Linked DNA regions of Arabidopsis thaliana. The protein of the gene in region 2 interacts with the protein of the main gene of each other region in a pairwise test. Each region holds a gene or a part of one and is shown on either strand. Other genes may lie near its edges.

Region 1 (7,427 bases), on a different chromosome or scaffold from region 2:
TCTCCCGCGTTGGCTTAATCCGGAGACTAGTCTCAATCGTGTCTTCATTCGCGGTGGTGACCTCCACATAGTTCCCAGAAGCCGTTTGCCTGATCCTTCTTTGGTTGCGTCTCTACGGTTTCTAATCGAGCGTGGTAACGAATCTCGTGCGTCGGATTCAGTTCAATCTGCGTTGAAGAATCGGATATCTGATTATCCTGAAAGAGCGTGGAGGAATATGCATCGTGTTAGGGTTAGGGTTCCGGTATCGGTAGCTCAAGTGATTAGGCATGAACCTTTCTTGATCTCACTTGCTGTGGAAGGGTTTTACGATCGTGATATGGATTCAATGAAACACGCAGCGAAGATGGAGAAGTTTCTGAGCAAAGGAAGAGAAGAGAAGCTTGTGCTTGTTCTTGTCAAGATGTCTCGTGCTATGTATGGGCAGCTAGTGCAGCAGAAGTTTCAAGCACCGAATTGTTATCCAATGCCTAGTGTCAGTGACAGGGATGCTTTCTCTGAAGCTGAGCTAGGGATGAAGATAGCTTGTGGTATGGAAATGATGTACCAGCAGAGGAAGAAGGAAGGAGAAGATGGGAAAGGGATTAGTTGGAGCAAGTATAAAGACAATCTTGAGAAGTATGGTTATTTTGAAGGATTGCTTTCTGGTTCGAAGGAGTATAAGAGGTTGATGGAGAATGCTGAGGAATACCACCAGAAGAGTTCTTCGTTTTCGAGGACTAGGTAATTGCAGTTTTTTGTTTCTATAGGTAGTGAAAAAGGATTCATCTTTGAGTTGTTTATATGATCTTGAGTACTTGTTTTATTTATGTGCAGAGACATTATGAGTGCACCGGTGAGACGTATTGATGAGATTCTTGCTTTACCTTATTCGGAGGATGACTTTAAGGGCCAGGAAGTTCCTGCTTCTGACAATGATTCTTGGCTCTACGATGGTGAAGATGAACTAAACTCTGTTCTTCAAGAGAGGCAGAAAGAGATGGAGTTTTATAACTCAAAGAAGGAACGCAAAAATAAAGGTAAGGAGAAGCAAGAAGCTGGAAGCTCATCTGATGCAAACATGAACAATTTTGATCTCGGTGATATCTCAAAGTCGATGCAGCAATTCATGCACAAGGTATCAAGCTACAAAGGAGCAGAAGTTCCAGAAAACAGGTTATCCATTATTTGAACATTAATCATTTTTCATGAACATCTCTTTGTTAATTTCAAGCTCAACACATTAATTTTTTTTTTTCTGGACTTATGTAGGGATTTCAAAGAAGTGAGTATAGATGTTGATCGTTTCATGAAAGATATTGAGTCAATGCTAGGAAGCCAAGGTCGTGACGAACAAGCTGATGATGACAGTGATGGCTCTGAAGGATCTTCCATGGACATGGATTTTGGTATTTCCTAAACTTTTTTTTTTTTCCTAATGGCAACATATACTGATCTATAAGGTGTGAAATGTGATGTGGGACTTACTAAAATGTTATGGTATGCAGATGACGTTGAAGATGATAGCGAAGGAGAAGAATCTAACGAAGATGCTAAGGAAAGCTTTGAGGAATCCTACTATGGAGCAATGAATGAGGAACTGAAAAACTCAACTCTTGAGAAAAGCTTTGAAAATGTGAATCAACAACATTCTTCTAAGCAAAACGAGGTAACTCTCATAACTAGACTCAGTGAATTTAGGAGCTTAGATTTTGACTGTAATGGTATTTATGAGATGAATGTAATGTCTCTGCAGGAATCATCAAAAACTAGAGATGAGAAGGATGATGAGTTTACACCAGTTGATGCAGATTTTAACCTTGTTAAGAACCTACTTGAATCCTACTCTTCACAACAAGGACTTCCTGGTCCTGCTTCCAATTTGCTCGGCCTCATGGGTTTGCAGCTTCCAAAAGATTCCGGCGACAAAAACTGAATGCTTATCAAAATGTAGTTTGTTTTTGGGTTCACTTTGTTTAATCACATAATCGTGAGTAACGTTGTTGGGGAAGTTTTTGTGTTGTCGAAAGTAAGCACATGACATGTGATTTCAAGAAAACAACATATGTACATGTACATTACTACTATTACACATCATCAAACCACAAAGGAACAAAAGAAAAAAGATTTTTTTTTTTTTTCTCCTTTTCCAAACCCAATTTATCTCGACCACAGAAGTGAAGCAGAAACGCTTTCACAACCGGAAAAAAACACCCACATGAAAAATATCCAATACTCAAATCATATCATATTCATCTTCATGTTGCTAGGTCTCCATCAGCATCATCTTTGTCCATTAGTAGATTCTTGAGATATGACTTGGTGTTTTGTTGTCACTCGCTTCAAACAGAAAATCAAAAGAAGTCTCCAGAAGCTATATCCACGAACGAATCTTGCTTCTTCTTTTTTTTTATTTTCCTTTTCTTTTTTTTTTAGATTATTCGATGCTTAAATCTCGATACTGAAACAACAGAGAACTAGTCTTATTCTTCCCAATCTCCAATTTATAGCTTCCCCATAGACGACAGCCACTGTTCCATGTTCTTCCCATCTGCAGTTTACATGTCATCAGAACAAAGAACAAATCAATTTACAAACAAAAGACTCAAACCAATTACTTAAGTTCTTAAAAGAACATGCAGATAATTTACATGATAGCTATTAATGAATGATGATGATAATGGAAACAAACATTACCAGGAGCAGCAGGAGAGAAGAAGCCATTCGGAATCTGATTCCCTGAACCATCCATAACTTTCTTGTAAAGAGGAACCAAAACCACAAAGCCACCACAATCATCATCCTCAGCTTTAAAACCTGGTCCATGTGGCTCAACCCAACCAATTGACCACTCTGGATCATCAGGTTCAGGAAACACCACATTCCCAATCTTATCCTCTTCCCCTCCTGATCCTGATCCTCCTCTTCCAATCCATCCTCTCTTGGTCTTCTTCACTGATGAAGAGGAAGAACCAGTCTTACTAGTAGTAGTCTTCTTCAGTGAAGGACTAAGTGAAGAAGATCCTTTAGGAATTGACTCTTTCTTCTCTCTATCTTTAGTGTTACTACCACCACACAACCACCTCGGAAGACGAGGAAAAGAGACTGCCATCTTTTTTAATGTTTCCTTTCTAAAAAAAAAACTCCGAACCTCTCCGGAGAAAACTCTTATCAATCAGCCATCATGTATCGATGCTTTATCTTCTACTTCAACCTGTTGACAATTTAAAAATAAAATCAACCATCAATAAAACAATCATAATGTCAACATAATGATGACACTGACCAAACACAAAGACTTTAACACAAATTTCAGATGCCAATAGAGAAAATCTCTTATCCATTAATACTGTTTATGATGTGATCGATTAGATTAGATTAACTCATCAACATAATATCAAACACGAGATTTTATGATTAAAACAGAATTTTTTCTTCTCAATTTCAATTTTCAATGAAATTTCAGGATAAACACAACGAAGATCTCAATTTTTTCTTTTTTAAATTTTCACTCGATGATTCTTCATCAATGGAAAGTAATTAATGTTTCATCAGATCGGTGGTCCAATTAAAAAAAACAATCGCTAAAAAATAGAAAAGCGAAAGCGGTCGACAATTGAAGAAACAAAGGATGATCATCAAAAGCCTCCGATGTCCGTCAAAAGACGGCAAGGCTTCGCCGGAAAATTCGGCGGAAATAAATGCGAAAAAATCGGAAGGAAGAAGAGAGAAAAATCTCCGGTAATTGCGAAACGTAGTAAATTACCGAGAAAAATAAGAAGGAAGGGAAAAAATCAAATCGACGATCGAAGAAAGCGTAAGAATAGCGTCGTTTCGTCCGTCGTCGTCTCTGACTCTCTTTCTCTTCTTCTTCTTCTTCTTCTTCTTATTCTGACTTTTCTCTGACTTTGTACAGAGAAGCTCATCTTCTGCTCTGCTTCATTTATATTACTCTCTTTTCTCCTTTTTTTATTTCTTTTGTTTATTTATTTTAGGCCGTTTTAATTGGGCCTCGCTTCTGCAAAGCCAATAAAGATTGATCCGACGGTTGGTAGCGGTTTACTTGCTTTCGTGGCAACTGTCGGTCCACCGTTCTACTATACACTTCATAACACTTGATTATATCCCATTCAGAAAAGTAAAACAAAAAACAAATATCAGGGATTTATACGTAATAAATCAACATTTTATATTTAATAAAACAAATCGATTTTCTTGTTAATTTTAATTTTTGGTATAATGATGATACAAAATCTTGGAATTATCAATCGGAAATAATTAAAGTTCATGCATTTCCCCCGATTCAATCATCTGGTTTCTCTATGGATTTTTGTGTAATTATAGAGATGCTTAATTAAAATCTCTATTAAAATCAATGAAATTTATACTACTCGTATATCACAAGGGTCAAGGATTGATCTTAAAACTTTAAGTACTTTATTAAAACATCACCCACCCATAATAAATGGTATGAGTAATAAATATGTTAATATATTTAATTAATTAACAACGGTCGCCAAAAAACCTGCAAAATTATGGGTAACAGACGTCATAAAAAGAACAAAACAAAGAAACAAAATTCTAGGTTCCTTTTTCCAATAGGTCGTCAGCTTTTCTTGGCCACAATTCAAGGCTCTACTAGTGCTAATTTATTGTTCATAAAGTTTCACATCTTCAATTCTCAAATATTAGAATAAATTCTTATAAGATGATTACAAAATAAAAATAGTGCATTCATCAGAATCTGAAGGTTGATGAATCTGAAGGGATTATTACTAATAAGCATATTCTAGACACTTGTGGTTGTTAATAAGGGATTATCCACTTGATCTTCTTTACTTATTTTTGATCAAATTATCATTATCGCTACAATAATTTGTAATATTCATTCACAATCAAATTTCTAATCAAACTATACTCTTTTTATTAAGCCTCAAGAACACAAATCTAAACACAAACTAGCCTCATCAAGAATCAGAGTTTTTATTTTTATTCTTATAAGAAATATCTAAAGATCAAGACTTTAAAAACTAATCAAACATGGCACATACAATCAGGAGCAGGATAAGTATAAATCGACTGTTTTGGTTTCCTTAACCGGATCTGTCCTTGTCTATTCACATGTCCTTCACCAAGCGCTTGCTGAAAATCTACCCAAGTGATGCTTTTGTTGAGGAAAAGCTGTCCTATTAACGCCATGTTTGGTCTGATCGTCTTGAGATTCTCGAATGTTCGATGACCAACAAGAGCGTTGTGCATGTTTCCAGGTGATGCGGAGATGAAAATGTCGCTGTGCATACTAACGTAGTAGTCAAGTGCAGCTAATAAAGAAGCTTTGCCCTTGATTCGAGCTCGTTCTTCAGAAGATGCAAGACTTCTTTTGTCTTCCATTCTTGGGAATACTTGTCTTAATGTTGAGATTCTAGCTTCTCCTCCATACACCTGTAATTCAAAAATACGTGATTAATATTCTGCTACATCACATTATAACCAGACTTTAAACAAGTAATGTAACTGAAGAATTCTGACCTTGTGGGATGCAAGATAGAGACGAGTATTGTTATCGAATCCGAAAGCAGCTAAAAGAAGTCCCATTTCTTCTGGTGTTAGAGGACACCGTCCTTGACTTCTTAACTCTTCATCAGTGAATTGAGAATTCAACACTCTTCCTTGCCAAATCATTTGTCTGTATTTCGCCAAGGAGAGTTTCTCGGCTTTGCCTCCGCCAAAATCACACGCTGAATGCGCAGCCATGTCCTATAAACATAACAAGAAGAAAATCTTGATCAAATAACTAACAACAATCACCAAAAGTTTTGAATAGGATGATTGGAATAAAGTATAATTTACCTTGTCGAAGCGAAGATGAAGCACAGCAAACTTCCCGGGTTCTTGTCTTCTGTGTGGGTTGGTCATGTCTCCTAAATGATCAACATTTTTCTGTTCCTTATTGCTTCTCCATGACGGGTTTCTAAGGCGGCTGACAAGAGCATCACCGAGTGATGTAATGTGAGGGACAAAACGTAAAGCTTGGAAATTCACTTTGCATCTTAGTCGTTGGATCTCAGCAGGTAAGTGGTCGAATGATAGCCGGTGAGAGAATGGAGAAATGGCAGCAATCCCATAACTACAAAATAGAACAAAAAAGCTCCAAACAATTACAGTCTGAAAGTCAAAAACTTAAACTTTCATTAGTCAGATTAAGTGCAAGACAGACCTTTGTAGAACTGGTGAGACGTTCTCAATATACCAATTCGCAGAGGCATGAACAGGCGCGGTTTTCACTCGTGTTTCACGTACTGCTGTACCGTAATACTCTCTTGTACTCCAAGAGTATTCATCAGGTAGTTCTCTAACCACCCTTATGTCATCTTTTAAAGAATCGATAAAATGATCGACATCAAAAATATCAACAAAAGAACTGCACACAGAAAGAAAAAACACACAACATCAGCTTCCGAGGCAACAACACAACTCTTCAACAGCAGAGAATTTTTCAAGAAACATTACCTTGAATCTTGCCACACAGGATTCACTTCAAGATAAGGGATCACGAGTGTTGCGTTTAAAATCTTCGCAACTGCAACAGCATCACATATTCCCATTCGTTGCTGGTTAAGTCCTCCATCAAGAAATACCTGAACATATCCCGCGGTTTTATCCGGTAATGCTGCTCCAAGACAACAAGATTAGTCAAAGATCAATATAATCTGAAACTAAAGAAGAAATTTTCAAACAAATTGTCAATACTTACAAGGAGAATTTCCCAAATCAATACAAGGACTCCATCCTTGATCAGTCAATGGCCTCCATAGATCAGACTGTTCTCCACTTGACTGAAATTATAAAGACAAGAAATCTCATCAAACTTTTTTACTTTCTGAAATCGAAAACTGATCGACAAAGAAACTTTTATAAAATCATCCAATTTTACCCGTTGTAAAGCACTCTTTAGCAAGGATAAATGTCTTGGCTTAATCGTGATAACTTCCTGCAAAAAAAGAGTGATTTGATTTTATATATAATCAAGAGAACTTCACTACTTAACTCAAGAGAGACTCTTGACCTGAAATTGAACAAGTCTAAGTGTATATATATTCCGGTCCCAAACTAGTCAAATTCCTGATAAAATCTTTAAATTCAACAAACCACAGAATTAAGAATAATCAATACAGAAAAACACAACCACCGTTGGTGTCTCTTTCTACAAAAGTATTCAAAATTGAGAAATTTCTTCATTAGGCAAGTTAAACCTACTATTTCAGGATATGTTAAAATCAGTGAACTTTCCAGAGACAAGAAAAAGAAAAAACCCAAAAGCTGATATTTTGCAATTTCCCCGGAGTCCAACCAAAACAAATCCCAGAAAAACAGGGAAAGATAGAAAATTTAGTTTTGCCCAACTCACAGATGAAGAAGACGAAGTCGAAACGTTGTTGCAGAACAAA
Region 2 (7,150 bases):
ATAATATTGCCACCGTTGCATTATATATGATGATAAATTTTCTAGAACTCATATTTTTTTTTAAAATGTGTGTTTTAAACTAATACATCTAAATGAAAGAAGTGTTTCTTTTGCGGACAAGTTTTCCTGGCTTTTGCTATCCCAATTGAATTGGTTTTTTTTTGTCCAGTATCTCCGCCTTCTACAGTTGTGATGCGGGCCCTCTTTCTGGCATCACCGCCTCCTATAGGCGGCGTTGGCTAGCTTTGCTTTTTTAACTCGCCGTCCAGTGTATCAGGTAGTTCCAGTTTTGTTTATGCGTTTGTTTAATTGTCTCGATTATGAAGAGTTCCAATATGTGAGATTGTTAGATCAGGAGAGTTTTCTCAGATCTACTTCTACTGACTTGTTCTGTTTTACCGTCGGGATTTCTTGTTTTCGGCCCCTATGGTTTTTTGGCAAGGTTGTTTGTTGATTGCATTGTTGTATCTACCAGTTTTCTTCGTTTTAATTTTCAAGACAGTTATGCGCCTAAGTTGTTGCTGAAAGCTCCATCGGTTTAATCTCCACGCGGATTTCCTTAGAGTTCGGGAGGAAATTACTTTGAGAAGTTCTTTTCTTTGCAGATTTGATAATGAAGATTGGTGAGATTCTCTAATTAAAAACCGTTAAGACTTCTTTGCTTGAAGATCTGGCGATTTCTGATGATTTTGGAGTTTCCTAAGGATTCTTACCAAATCGACAATGACCAACAACGATATATGCTTCACATGTCCATGCGTCTTAACCTTGCTTCATAGTCTCACATGTGGCTTTGCGTTGGAATCTTTAAATCTTACTTCTACAAAGGGTTTAGTTTCCTAGATTGGACTTTCTTTAAGTTGGGCTTCTTCTTATAAGTTAAACTTGTTGGTTCTTTGGTTATGCAACATGGATGCTTGTTTAGATAATCTAATATTGTAAAATTTGATGTGTTTGTCGAGTCATGTAAGTGAAAGATTCCACTTTTGCAACAAAAGTTTTAAATAAAGTGCAACATTTATGAGAAAGAAAAAAAAAAGGTTTTATGCAAAAGGACTCTCCAAATGATTTTTTTTGCTAGACAAACATCCATCTCAAAAAAATACAGGTCAATATCACAGTCTCAAAAGTCACCTACAATATAGTCCTTCCGTATATCGATGACGTAACAGTCGATAACTCCGTTGGAAGACATAAGAGTTTTGTTAAACAAACCCTCCATATATTTTTTTATTTTTGCAAGACAAACCTCAATGTCAAATAAATACAATATTACAATCTCAAAGTCACCCGCGATATAGTCATTTTGTATAGCGATGACATGACAATCGATAATTCCGTTAAAAGCATAATGGATATCAAAATAGACCTTTGTTTTGCTTTTGTTGAAAACCACATGATTGTGTGAGTTTCGTTATTAGAAATAGAATTGAGGGAAATAATTAGAGTTCTTTCATATTATATCTTCTTCTTTATTCATATGAAGTTTGGAGATTCATTTTTCTTTTCCATTTCGATCTTCATCCATTTCGATGTATGTGTTTGTTGAATTGTGTTCCACATGATCAAAAATCTTGGTTTGATTTTAAGTGATTCATTTACAGTTTTGAAGATCCCAATGAAAAATAAATATGAATCTCCAAATTTTCAGATAAATAAAAATTCAATAATTTTGGTGTATATTGTTTTATGGGTAATATTAGTAGATAACCAAATAAAACATACAAATTAAGAAACTAGCAGAGAGAAAGTTTTTTGTTACAAAATAACCATGGATCCCACGTTGTCGGAAGAAAGGAAATAACAAATCTACCCTTCATTTGTTGTAAGATGAACAGTAAACGAAATACATCCGTGTAATTTTTCAAAATAGCATGTAACATTAAAATTTCACATGTTATATTTAGTTTAAAAACATGCTATTTCAAAAAACGTTATGAATTTTTAAGAAAAAATATTCTTATGAAATTCTTTTACGTGAACAGAATCTTAAAAAAAAAAAATTATATGTGATTTTAATAAAAACCATGTATTACTAAAAAATAGGAATATATTTTTAAAGAAATCACGTGTGATCTTAATAAAAAACGTGTATTACTACAAAATATCATGATAAAAAGAGATATTAAACTGAATAGAATGTTTTTTCCAAAAAATACCAGGTGCTTTTTAATAAATACTATGTAATAAGAGAAAATAACAAGATAAAAAGAGGATATTATGTTATCGCATGTATTTCGGAAAAATAACATGTTACAAAGGACATTTACGTAATTACACGTGTTTTCCAACATGTTTCCGACAAGATACTGTGATTCAAGGTTAGTTTGTACATTCTTTTCAAATCTATAGTCATTTATTATAAATACTCTTGTTTTATTGTATGTTTTCTAATGTAGTTATTGGTTGTCATGTCATCACTACACAAAAAGATAATATTATGAGTGATTTTTAAGATTGTAGTGTTGACATTCATTTATTTGATATGAAGATTTTTTTTTACAAAAAAAGTTTACATAGAAATTTTTTACACTAAATCTTTATGTTTTTAATAGAGTTATCGTCTATATCAAACCTACATTTATTTGACATAATAGTTTATCTTATAAAAAATGACTTCATCTGTTCTTTTTTATTTGATTGGTTAGGAAAAACACACATATTAAGTTAAACATATTAAAATTGTTAAATGTATTATTTTTTGTATTTTACAATTTTTTATAACTTTAAATCAATAATATTCAATTATTTTTATCAAAGTTTATAATTAATTAATAATAACTAATAAATATTTCATAAAAAATCTAAAAATTAATCTTTTAAAAACTTATTTTTTTCAAAAAACAGAGAGTGTTAAATAGATAGATTTTTTTACACAAAACCCAAAAAAAAAAACTAAGACCTTGAATGTTTTTTAGATTTTGTAAGAGTTTTTGATTTTTGTTTTTTAAAAACTTATTTTAATACCAATCAAGATTTTAAAATTTTGGTTTCCCTACAATTTAGTAAAACTATTTTATTGTAGTTTTCCATTCATATTTAAGTTTTTTAGTTTTTCTAAAGTTTAGAAAATCTAGTTTTTACTCAATCAACGTTATTTTTTCAAAAACCAAAAACCAATTTTTTAGGGGTTTTTAAAACAAAAATATAATAACAAAAATCTAAAATCTATAGACTAAAATCTAAACTCAAAAACTGAATCGAAAATATCCATTCAGGCCTAATACATCCAATATTTCAATACTTCTTAACTCTTAACTCTTAAGTTTTAAGTAATTAAATATATAAAGATCTGTTGCCAAGCGTACCCTTTTTATAAACATTCCAAATAACTATCTCCATTCTTTGGAGTTACCCAATTTCGACGTTGAACACAAACCCTTGCTTCTCTCTTCTCTGTTTCTCTCTCGCAGCGAAAAATCATGGCGATTAGCTCCTTCAAGCATGAACATCCTCTTGGTTCGTTTTCGATTTAAACCTAATCGATCAATCTTGTTGATCTTTGTGTATCTCTCTCTCATCGTAGGGATTTTTTTAGCGACTAGGTTTAAAAATTCTCAAAATCTGGTTACGTCTATTTCAATTGCTTCTGAGTTTGCATGAATTGATCCTTGATTCTGATTTCCAACGATTTCAATTTTGATTGCGTTAACAGTTATAAGAATCCGCAAAATTATATGTTGAATGATTTTATCGCCGATTCTGTATTGTTTCGTGAAGTAGTATGCATAATCTTTGATTGAAACAAGTTTTGTGTTTATTGATGCAAATACATTATGATCTTTATTCAAGTGGAGATGAATATTGATGTTGAAGTTACTAAGTTTCACTTGTCTCTCTTGTGTTCCGTGGTCGAGTCTCTGTTGTTCACGGGGCGTAGAATCGCTATTTCAGTCCCTGTACATAATCTTTGATTGAAACATGTTCTGATTTGGTGCTGCTTTTGCTGAGGAAGCAAAATACATTATAGTCTCTGTTCAAGTGGAATCCTAAGATATTATCACTGAGTATGTGTTGTTCACGAGGCTTAGAATCACTATTTTAGTCCCTGGAGCCTGGAGTAGTAGTGTACATAATCTTTGATTGAAACATGTTTTGATTTTGTTCTACTTTTGCTGAGGAAGCAAAGTACATTATAGTCTCTGTTCAAGTGGAATCCTAAGATATTATCGCTGAGTCTGTGTTGTTTTACGTGGGTTAGAGGATGTTGATGTGTTGAAAATTGATGGATCTGTGTTTTTTTTGCTCTTGAATGTTACAGAAAAGAGACAAGCTGAAGCAGCACGTATCAGGGAGAAGTATCCAGACAGAATACCAGTATGAATTTTGGCTATTTTCATTTAAGAAAATTGCATAGCTTTTGCCTTATTCTCTCTGAAATTGTTGCAGGTCATTGTCGAAAGAGCCGAGAAGAGTGATGTCCCGGATATTGATAGGAAAAAGTAAGTCCTTACTTCTCTTGAGGAGTTGGATATAATCTCTTTCTTCTCACTGAAAGTGGCTTCAAGCCCTTTTCTGAGAACCCTACACTCCCTCACATTTAGTAATGAATTGGTTAATTGGATAGAAATAATTTTTTTTTATTGAAAGATCTGGAGGAATTTCTGGTTTTCATGGTTTGTTGCTTAGGGATAATGAATTGGCTGACTTACTATTCAAAACTTTAGGTACTTGGTCCCAGCTGATTTGACTGTTGGCCAGTTTGTTTATGTTGTACGGAAGCGGATCAAGCTCAGTCCCGAGAAAGCCATCTTCATTTTTGTCAAGAACATTCTACCACCAACTGGTTAGTTTCAAACACGTTCCTTAATCATATACTTTTCCAGTTCAAGGAATCATATCTTTTTCTCAGTTGAGCTAATAGTAGTAGTGTTATCCTTTTATTGCAGCGGCAATAATGTCTGCAATTTATGAAGAGCACAAAGACGAAGACGGGTTTCTATACATGAGTTACAGTGGTGAGAACACGTTCGGGATCTTCTTCTAATGCGCTTGGAATATGTGGATGCATCAGATTATCAATGTACAGTCTGTCTATTTCTCTGCTTGTCTCTAGTTTTCATGACATTGGACGAAGCTTTTGAAACTTGCATGCTATGTTATTAACATGATAAGGTCTTCCGTTCATGGTGTTAATTTGGCTTTATGCTACACTTAATTTCAAACTTAGTCGCTATATATAGTTGAGGTCACTTGGTGTCCTCCTTGAATATTGGCCCGGCCTATTTCACTAGTCGTTGAACCGTTACGATTTCTATCTTCTCAAAGTTAGCTCGACCGTCAAATCTCTAAGCTCTTGCAATCTCTGCTTCTAAGGAACACAAAACAGAGATAACTTTAGCTATAAATATTTAGATTTCAAAAGCAACTTGATTTAGGTAAATTTGTGCACACTCTAGAATAGATTATCATCTGTTACAGATTATTACTGTACAATCCAGCAAAAACTAGGCCTGGGATTTCGGATTAACCCAATGACCGAACTGAACAAACCGTTTTTTTGGTTCTGATAACCGACTATGAAGGGAAGGCTAAACCGATCGGCGAAATTATAATTGAAGTTCGGTTCTCGGTTCGGCAGACATAACCGATCAGTTTTCTCGGTTAATAGATACTATAAATATAAAGATAAAAACATTAGATCTAATCTTTTTAGCTTCTTCTCCGTTTCCTTTTGATCCTCATCCATGGCTATTTAGTCAATTCTCTCTATCTGCATGTGGTTTTCACTATGGTAGCACGTCGGGGCATATTTCGTTACGGAGATATCGTCATCCCTCGCTATCACCGTCACCGTCACAGACGTAGATCTGCTGATTATGAAGAGGGTAGCGGCACCAAGATACCATCAACCCTAATTTTTAATAGGTTTGGATTTTTAGTTATTTTGGGTTTAAGTTTGTTTTTCGTTTTGGCCCAATTATTGGTTTGTAATTATAAAATTTTGTTTATCTTCGCCCATTCTATAATTTTTGTTTTGACCCATTATCTTGATTTTGGACTTATTCGGTATAAACTAACCGAACTAAAAAAAAAATCGGTTTAGTTCAGAGTTGATTTTGAATCCTATAACCAAACCGACCCGAACCAAATCTTTATTCGGTTTAATTTGACAAAATTTTAAAGAACCGAAAAAACCGATTAAACCAAACCGAACCGATTACCCGAATAAACCGAATGCCCAGGCCAAAAACAACTGAAAATAAAAAATAAAAAATGAGATAGGAGAATATTTAATCCGACGGTGGAGAAATGTTGATATAATAAAACGTGATACAGAGGATCATAAACCCGCAACATGAGAAACGTAATAAGTTAAGTCAAAAAAACGAAAAAGCCAGAATCATATTTGTGGCTCTGGTTTCTCCATCCAAACAAAAACAACACCCAAACCTTGTCCACACCAAAATGTTAAACTCAAAATCCAACCACACACACACAATTTCTCTTCCTCTCTACCATTAACATCGATCAGAAAGACCGAGAGAGAGAGGGAGAAGCTGATTGATTATGGCTGCTGCTTCGATTTCTGCAATAGGATGTAATCAAACTTTGATAGGAACTTCCTTCTATGGAGGATGGGGAAGTTCCATCTCCGGAGAAGATTACCAAACCATGCTCTCCAAGACAGTTGCGCCACCGCAACAAGCCAGAGTCTCAAGGAAAGCAATCAGAGCAGTTCCAATGATGAAGAATGTCAATGAAGGCAAAGGCTTATTTGCACCTCTAGTTGTTGTCACACGCAACCTAGTAGGCAAGAAGAGGTTTAATCAGCTCAGAGGAAAAGCCATTGCCTTACACTCTCAGGTTTGCTTGTCTTATAATCATTCTCTTAAGAACTAGTCAAAGAAGCAAAGTTTTGTGGAACTGGGTTCTTTTGTTCTTTCAGGTGATCACTGAGTTTTGCAAATCGATTGGAGCAGATGCAAAACAGAGACAAGGGCTTATCAGGCTTGCTAAGAAGAATGGAGAGAGGCTTGGTTTCCTTGCTTAGGTCTTAAAAAGAACAAATCTTTCTCTCTGCTTGTGTCTGATATATACACTCACAACTCCTCTTGTTGTTCTTGTCTAGATGTATTTTGTCCAAACCTATAATCTTGATTTTTGTTACATTGCCTTTGAGGGTTACTCAAACACACATAACTGCTGC
Region 3 (8,698 bases), on a different chromosome or scaffold from region 2:
AGGAGATGGAAGATACAACGTGCAACCAAACGTGCGGTGCGGAGAAAAGGGTTCAACCACTTGCGAAGATCCATCAACGTACGCAAATTGGGACGGAATTCACCTCACTGAAGCGGCTTACCGCCACATTGCAACTGGTCTCATCTCCGGCCGTTTCACCATGCCTACTTATAATTAATAACAATTAAGTTACTCATAAGTTGTAACTTTTTTTTTAACACACAAACTTTTCATATAACTCCTAATTGAAAACCTATAAATCGATCATATTTATATCAAGCTCGTTCGAGAGCATAAGCATAAAAACTCATAGCTTTGGGCTTCACATTATTAACGACAATTTTGGGGAAAAAAATCTATAGAAATATTTCATTAAATGTATGAAAAAGGTACAACTAGATCGGTTCTGATTCATATACATGTTAGTAGAGTATACATAAATAAATAGATTGCATTGTTTTCCCTTTCACATTTTTGTTACAGAATTAAGTTAGCAAAATTTCACTGCCCATGCTAAAATATCCACCACATTGCATCTAATCTCATCTCCGGGCGTTTTACCATACTTTCTTATAAAAACAGTTAATTAAATTACTAACTTAGAAATTGTAATTTATTTTTTAACAGAAACAATACATTCTAATGGATAATGCATATATAAAAAACATGTAAAGCAAATTACTTTAAAGTTTACATATAATTTGATTTACATAGTAAAAAATAAAAATTAAGGGCATTGATACTGGCAAGAACATATGCCCTCATTAGAGCAACTTGACAACCCCTGCCTCTTCAAAACACACATCAACCCACACTCTTGATAATCACACTTACTCTTTCGAAACAGAATTTCCGAACATTTATACTCATTTTCGACCACTCCTGTTTATTACACCAAAATATTATTTTTTATTAAAAATTAAAAAGAAAAAAGTTTTCTTTGATTTCATATATATTGATGTTTGGAAATAATATATATGAACTGATATTAAAAAAATTAACATGGCATTCACAAACATTTATTTTAGATCGTTTGTTTATAATATATTTAGTCGATTTTAGATATAGATACATACCAAGCACGAAAATGCTGAAGATAGCTAAAACGGTGAACGAGAGTTGAATAAGTTTAGTTATCGTAGTTTCGTAGATGGTAAAAATTTATTGACGGTGTTTTTCAAATGATAAAAGAAAGAACATATTGTGTCTATATAAAGAAGTTATGTTATGGCTTCTGGTGTAGTGGTGATTAGTTCTTATCTTGCTCTGCGCTGCTGACTTCGGGAAATGAACTTGGTTAGAGGGAGCTTGCATCTTTTGCTACTTTGGCGTGTGAGGTTCTGCTTTCGGGAGAGCTCATGGATTGGATTGAAGTATCGCTTTCACATGTCGCAGGGAAAGTATGTGTTTGATGCTTTTGTGTTTCGAACCGTTGACGGCTCAATGTCAGGCCTCCAACGAAAGGCTTCTAAAGCTCTTAGTCCATCGCTTTTTGGTGTATCACAATCTGTTTCAGCCCTTCTGCTTGTGCATCTCTTTCGGGAAGGATAGAATTGAACGTCATCGCTTCATCTATTCCCTTAGATTCATTGCAAGGTTGAGAAGATCGATCGAAAATTTGGTTTTAATTAACCGTTTTTTATGCGTCTATGTTTTTATTCTTTTTTGCCATAGATCCATATATATAGGTTTCAAATTTTATGTTTGTAACCTAAACTGTTTTCATTATCTATGAAATATTTACAATTTAGCAAAAAAAAAAAAAAAGAAGTTATGTCTATTTCAATTTTAAACAAATCTAATTTTATCCTTTTATCTCCTTAAATTGTGATTTGAATGGAGCTGCGTCAACGCTAACCTCTGTTTATTTGAGTGGATTTGTTCTACGCAAACTCCATAGTTTTTGCTAATGTGATATGTAAAATCTTTGAATGTATTCTTTTCAAATTTAATTATAAGCTATGATTATCTAAAATTATATATACACTGTTGGTGTGATTTTCGGTTTAGTAGATATTGAACTAATCATTCTGTGATTAAGAATTTGATTTCTTCATTTCTTTGTACTTTAATTTAGTTTAAAAAAATGCTTATCAAAAGATTCATAAAAGAAGCCACCTAGTGAATATAGTCTATGGACATTTGATACATAAATCTGTCTTTAAAGATCTACAGCTACATCGTCATCATCAGTATCATCGTCTTCCCAGTCGAGGTTGAATGAATTAGCAGCTTTCTTAAGCTCGGTTAAACCAGTAAGATCCTCCAGGTATGTAGGATGGTTAATAGCTTCAAGTATGAAACTGTTTCCTCTCTCCCTATACTCCGATATCACCTGAAAATACAAGTTTATAAACATCATCAGATTCTCGAGCGCAGTTTTCTAAGAATGATGTCATGTGGAAACTTACGGTTTCAGAGCAAGCGGTACAGCTGTTGGAAGCTTGACCAAGCAGCGTGATCTGTGAGAACTGAGAAACTGAGCCTCGTATCTGATGAGGTAATATCCCGAGAGGCGAATCATCATTGTTTCCTGTATTACTCAAGCTCGAATTGTCGCCTTTTGCATTGATACTGTATGTAATAAACATATGTAAGACGATAAGCCTGAGGATTGTATTTTCAATGTATTCGAGTTTCGAAAGGCTTACCCAAGTGGGTGTTGTAGGACTCCGACTAAGAGTTCAACGGCGAGAGCTCCTGCAATAGGAGCTAGACCCGGGCGTGTAACAGTGCATTGTTGGTCTAGAGTTCGATCAGTCATTGACTGCAAATACAAGAAAAGAGTGGGTACGACGAATCAGGACTGAACTGGAGGTAACACGAAACAAAACAATTCAAAATGAAGAAACCAGGGAATTACATCCTGAGGTGCAACCACGTCGTTGCAGAAGTAACAACCAAGTCTCTGTGTATTTGTCTTGTTTATGTCAAGATTCTGCATATCATCAGACAGAGAGGTGGGGCCAGCACCATGGCGCATTACCATGTAGCTGTCAAAACCTAAAGCCGCGTTTATAGCGATCTGAAATTCACATCAAACACCGACATATCAAGCAGATTGTTATACTTATATAACCAGTAAGAAGAAATAAAGAAACAGAGTTAGTTACCTTATTGGCATTAGCACAAAGAAGAGACGGTAACCACCTGCTTTCTCTTGTATCGGTTAACAAGAACACCGCATCATGAGATTCAATCAACTCGCTAAGGCGTTTACAATCACCGAGAACAGAATCTTCTTCTTGGCTAGAAATCGGATGTCCGGGCATCGGTATAGCCATAACAACTCCACTAGTTTCCATTGCTGGAAATATCTGTTTAAGGCTTTTAACAGCAGCAACAGCTTTAAACTCACCACGACCTAGACAATCTTCAAAATTATAGAGAGATTGCCTGACTGGATTAGACATGGCAACTTTTCCATAGTCAACAAAGGTGATATTGCGGATTCCCCAACCCTAAGAAAATAAAAGATAAACGAGTTCTTAGTTAATCAGTGAGTTTGTAAAATAATGTCAAATCTCGCATTTTCTTCAATACGTACCATAAGGGTACGAGCAACTTGGCAACCCAATGTACCAGCTCCAAGAAGAAGGCATTTGACAGAGGACAATACATTTAAGTTAAGAGACGGTAATGCTCGCCATCTCATTAACTTTAAGTTTAAATCGACAGCAGAAACAGCCAACCTGCGAAAGAACGTGATTCCGTTTGTCTAATCAGATTTTACCCATTTAGTTGAGTAGATCATTGACACAGAGCAAAAATGTACCTTGTTGGATCCATGGAATTAGCAAGGCTAATGGATCGGGGTACACGTTTCCCTTTGTTAAGCTCCCATCCCACTGAGTTAGGTACAGTCTCAGCTGATTCACCTGATGAAAGTGTAATTGAGGCTTGACCAACAAGAGAAAGGTTCAAGTCAGCGAAACCACGACTCTCTCTGTAGCAGAAGAACCAAACTGTCTCGAGGTTCCATCTTGAGCGAATCAGTGCCAAGTAGTTTCGAAGTGGCCAGCCAGGATTACTAGGAAGGTGACACGGGTCATAGAAACCGAAAAGCAACTGCAGGAAGAGAGACACATAAAGGTGAATTTTGTTTTTTCTGTATCTAACGCATATGGAAGAGTTAGTTAACACATACCTTTTGATGATCACCTTGGCACGCTTCCAAGTCTTTAAGATGTCTGATACTAGCTTTTGAATCAGAAGAAACCGAAACCAAAAAGAATGGAACATCTACAGCAAAACACGGAGAAGTAACAAAAGGTTTTCAGCTACCACTCCTTGAATTTTAATAGTAAAAAATAGAACAAGAATGTTGAGTACCAGTAGTTAAATCTGAGTCGCGCCAATCATTACAAGCAGCGGATACTGATTCAGCCTCTTCAGAACTAAAATACTCTGAAGCTGGCTTTAATTCAATCAAACTTACAGGAGGATCAAGTACAAACGCAGGGAACGCAAACCAATACCGAAAACTCCATTTCTTAAGGTCTGCAAAGGAGATAACGAGGAATCTTGGTAACACAGAAGGGTCTTCAAGAGCTTTTCCTGATTGAATATCCTCCCAAATCTAAAATTCACCAACAAAATTGTTAAAACTTCTGCAGACAAGAACCAGTAAAAACCAAGTCACGGAGCTAAGTTTTGTATTTACCTTATTTGCTTCTGCTTTTAGCAGACTTTGTTTGTCAAGTTTATTGAAGCTTTCAACGGTATTGGTGTTATACAAAATCCCAGGAACAGGACACTTATTCCTATTTCCATGACTAGTACTAGCAATCAATGATTGTTCATCTAAAGGCAATGACTCTGATAAAAGAGTCAAATGATTTGAGACTTGTGGATGTCCACATGGTCCATAGAAACCTGAAAATTTCAGTTCCAAAAAAGCACATAAATTCTAAATCTGAATAATCTCTACTAAACAAAACAGAGGCTTTTAAAGTTCTCAACTTTTTTTTTGCTTCTCTAACCTAAACGGATCATAACAACTTGCCCAGAAAACAGAGGATTTTCAAGTTTTCAACTTTTTTTTTTGCTTCTCTAACCTAAACGGATCATAAGAGCTCGAATGCATAGACTCATCGAATAATATATAAAAATCGATGCATTGGATGATTTTTTAATTCGATGATTGTGTGTTTACCGGTGATTGAAATCGGAGAATCATCGATTCCGAGTTTGTCGAGTTTCAAAGAGGAGAAGCTATGCCAGAAACCTTCGTCGACGGAACTGTTCAATGGAGCGAATTGAAGTATGATTGCTGGAGTTTCTTTCTCAGCCATGGCTGATCTTATCTTTCTGAGAGATTGCAATGTTTATTATGGAGGAGAGTCAATGAATGTGAGAAAGAAGAAGACGATGACGGAGAACGGTGAGAAAAAGGAGTCGTGCAAGGAACATGGTCAATCCGGGTCGGGTCGGCTTTATATCCAAGCAAACCAAAACCGGTTTATTTTAAAAAAGTAAAAAGCATTAACCGGACGGTTCGTCTTTTTCCATAAAAATCAAACTGAACCAAATTCGGTTTATTACAGTCTTCTCAGTAAATGGTTAAGAGTTTTCAAACTTCATTTTTTTAACAAATTTTCATTTTTACTTGGTGGAATTTGATTGTGCATATGCTTCAAATTATCCCTAGCTAATACCGTTGAAATTTGAAAGAAACATTTCGAAAATTATCAATCCTTTGCATTACATAAGCTTACAATTTCATAAAATGCATACAACAGTCTAAATACAATTTTTTTACATAAAACAATTCAAATTATTTTTAGACATCAATCCCACACAAACATACACAATTAAAAGCTTAACACGGTTTTGAATTCATATAGTTGGGTAAGAAGCTTTCATGGCAAGACCACATAGTCCTTGTTTATCCTTGACATCTTTTTGAATCCTCATATATCCACTTTCTCCCCATTTTGTTCCCCATGAATTCTTGATGATCCAATACTTTGATCCGTTAGTAGATTCGCCGTATCCAATCGCAGTTACTGCATGATCAAGATACGTAGTGCACTCTCCAGTGAACACACCAGACGAATAGAATTGGAAATCAAAACCACCTCCTTCAATTCCAACGCTAACCGGTTGGTGTGCCACTGCCTTCATCAGTGCTTGCTCATCATTAACCGGGACATCCTCATAACCTATGATATGTGAACGTACATGAGCTTTTTAAGATTCAAAATATGAATTTTATCTAGTATAGTAATGTTTATTAATTTGGATAATATGATTAAAAATCGGTTTAATCTGTTTAATTATTATATGCCAGCTCTTTAACTAAAGTGAACCTGTAATAGAAGTTGCTTTTGGATTGGTCTTTTTGGAATTGCAAGTAGCGTCTTCGCCTTTGTAAGGATAATTTGACTCAGTTGTCAAGCCGCCAGTCGCTTTTATATGCTCAAACGCAGTATCCATTAAACCGCCTTCGCAGCCAAAATCGTTTGTGTCGCAATCAACAAGCTGTTGTTCTGACAAAGATATAAGTTTCCCTTTCTTTATTTGTGTTGCTCCTTCAATAGCCGCAACCGCTGAAAACGCCCAACAACATCCTACAAAAACATCACTCATTAGTGTCACTATCATAAATATTTTCATGTGTCTAACTACATATCTCAATAAAACGGTATGAAACAAAATATATATAACTTAACATAGAAAAATTTAATAAAAATATGGTTATTCGATTCGGTCAGTTACACTATGGATTTGGTTTGGATCGGTTTGTTCACTATGAATTAACTCAAATTGATTGAATACATAAATTTCGGTTGGTTCAATTTGATTTCACTTATATATATATGAATAAAGATTTGAGTTATACCGCAGCTGCCTTGATTCTTGATAGGGGTCACAGCTCCTTTCTTCCTCCAGTCAACAGAAACCGGCAAAGCACCAGAAGAAACGTTTTGGTACCTAAACGGCGACATTTTAGTTTGGCTTTGGCTAGATAATGCCGAGACACCTTTGAAACCAGTGTACATGGAACGAAATTCGTCATTGGTTAAATCAGCAAACTGATTTACCGCAAGTTTGAAAGTTCTTCCGGCAGGAATGCTATTTAAATGTTCAATGCGTTCGACGTTGTTTTTGAACACAACGTAGCGATTGTTTTCCTCCTTCACATCCGCGTAGACACGGCCGTGTTTAGTCATCCACTCGATGTGCCTCTTTTGCATGATGAGTTCATTGTCGAGTGGACGAGAAAGAGTGATGGAGAAACAGAATGATGAAAATATAGCGACGAAGAGAAAGATTTGCATATGTTTTAAAGCCATTGTTTTAGGAAAGTTAAATGACTTTTGCTCTTAATTTGATTACTTCAGAAGGGTACTGAGATGGGGTTTTATAGTGAAAATAAGGTTGATGTAATTGCTAATGTTCACATGAAGTGATTGATCCAAATCAAAGCATTTTTGTTTTACAAGTAATGACTACATTCATTCATACATAACTAAATGATCGTTGATGTTTGATACGTAGCCATTTTAGTCCTACATCAACCTGAAATCAAGTCTTGTTCACTCACTTTGCTCGGATTTTTAGTTAATTTTAGTGGTGGGTTTAATTAGTTTTGTAAACATTTATATTTGATGATTAGGAAGTTTGTATCTAGTAAAATTTAATTTCTCTACTTGTGTACTATAGAGATTTTCGAAGTTGGATATGTGTTGATGATGTTTTGCATAAATATATTTCCTTATTTAATTAATTAAAATTAATATTTAAGAAAGCATTTTTAATTGACATTTCAAAAAAAAAAAATCTATCATGAGTATAAATTATTTGGAAAAAAATACTTTTACATGCTGATACGTAGTTACGTACATGTTTATTTTTCTTGTAGTACGTAGGTACCTTTCATGCATCAAAATCACTAATCACATAAAAACAAGGAATCTTCTTTTGTCTTTTCACTAATCAAATAGTTTGAATTCAAAGATTCTGTTTATTCACAAGAGAACCATTCGTGCAAGTTAAAAGCTTAATCAAATCAAAAAGAAAAATGATTCGACAAAATTAACTAATTTGATCAAATCATAGTCATTCACAACAAGTGAACTTCATTACGCTAAGTATTCTTTTGTAGATAAATCGATATGATTTGCTAAAAGTTTCCTGTTCAATGATGTTTCCCACCAATTTCATCTATCTGAATCTCTATGAAAGTTTCCCTGTCATTAGAATACAATATAAATGTAGCTCTGTAGTTAGGGATAATATAAGAAATATTGAAATAATCATTAGACGACAAGAGGGATACGTACGAAATTGCATTTTGGACTTAAATCCAAATCATATTTGGCTGAAGTGATAACGTCTAAAATACTAAATTCAAAATTGACAAATAACTGCATATTTACAAATATAATGATTAGAATTATTTTATTATAGTGATATAGTTAGTTTTCTTACACAAAGAAGAAGTAAGACATATTCTTGGATCTTCACATGGTATTTAAATAATTGTAAAAACGTTATAAACTTATAATTGTCAACTGGAGTATATAAATAAATAATATATGAATTCTTGTACAGGGAAAAATGCGGTGTAAATACCAAACTTTACGAAGCGTGGCAAAAATGTTATAAAAAAAAAATCTATAAAACTTTGTTATTGTGATGTGAAGGAATCGCCCTAGTCAACAAATTAAATCACAATCACCTCATGAACACA

What was found. The genes of interacting proteins can lie anywhere in the genome.
Region 1: the proteins of ATG8D (region 2) and AT5G65480 interact in a two-hybrid assay, tested with the Arabidopsis thaliana proteins (one large-scale study listed by BioGRID).
Region 3: the proteins of ATG8D (region 2) and APG7 interact in a two-hybrid assay, tested with the Arabidopsis thaliana proteins (one large-scale study listed by BioGRID).

The regions. Positions count from the first base shown.
Region 1 is NC_003076.8:26,172,491-26,179,917, reverse strand, and holds AT5G65480 (uncharacterized protein), read right to left. Parts: upstream 3,898-7,427; 5' UTR 3,746-3,897; exon of another isoform or gene 3,538-3,745; intron 3,194-3,537; 5' UTR 3,092-3,193; coding exon 2,677-3,091; intron 2,531-2,676; coding exon 2,484-2,530; 3' UTR 2,001-2,483; downstream 1-2,000. Other genes in the region: AT5G65490 (suppressor-like protein), read left to right, coding at 1-723, 817-1,155, 1,252-1,388, 1,488-1,648, 1,736-1,915; AT5G65470 (O-fucosyltransferase family protein), read right to left, coding at 5,014-5,421, 5,509-5,736, 5,830-6,106, 6,197-6,400, 6,490-6,649, 6,734-6,815, 6,914-6,970, 7,388-7,427.
Region 2 is NC_003071.7:2,081,048-2,088,197, reverse strand, and holds ATG8D (Ubiquitin-like superfamily protein), read left to right. Parts: upstream 1-3,315; 5' UTR 3,316-3,422; coding exon 3,423-3,459; intron 3,460-3,792; coding exon 3,793-3,899; intron 3,900-3,982; coding exon 3,983-4,007; intron 4,008-4,261; coding exon 4,262-4,317; intron 4,318-4,389; coding exon 4,390-4,442; intron 4,443-4,667; coding exon 4,668-4,786; intron 4,787-4,889; coding exon 4,890-4,987; 3' UTR 4,988-5,212; downstream 5,213-7,150. Other genes in the region: AT2G05632 (uncharacterized protein), read left to right, coding at 296-454; PGR5 (proton gradient regulation 5), read left to right, coding at 6,511-6,807, 6,890-6,994. UniProt on the Arabidopsis thaliana protein: Ubiquitin-like modifier involved in autophagosomes formation. May mediate the delivery of the autophagosomes to the vacuole via the microtubule cytoskeleton.
Region 3 is NC_003076.8:18,611,900-18,620,597, reverse strand, and holds APG7 (ThiF family protein), read right to left. Parts: upstream 5,424-8,698; 5' UTR 5,295-5,423; coding exon 5,156-5,294; intron 4,876-5,155; coding exon 4,664-4,875; intron 4,580-4,663; coding exon 4,333-4,579; intron 4,243-4,332; coding exon 4,148-4,242; intron 4,069-4,147; coding exon 3,776-4,068; intron 3,693-3,775; coding exon 3,548-3,692; intron 3,462-3,547; coding exon 3,114-3,461; intron 3,026-3,113; coding exon 2,864-3,025; intron 2,768-2,863; coding exon 2,652-2,767; intron 2,575-2,651; coding exon 2,412-2,574; intron 2,336-2,411; coding exon 2,162-2,335; 3' UTR 2,001-2,161; downstream 1-2,000. Other genes in the region: AT5G45910 (GDSL-like Lipase/Acylhydrolase superfamily protein), read left to right, coding at 1-178; SAG12 (senescence-associated gene 12), read right to left, coding at 5,839-6,164, 6,312-6,572, 6,845-7,298.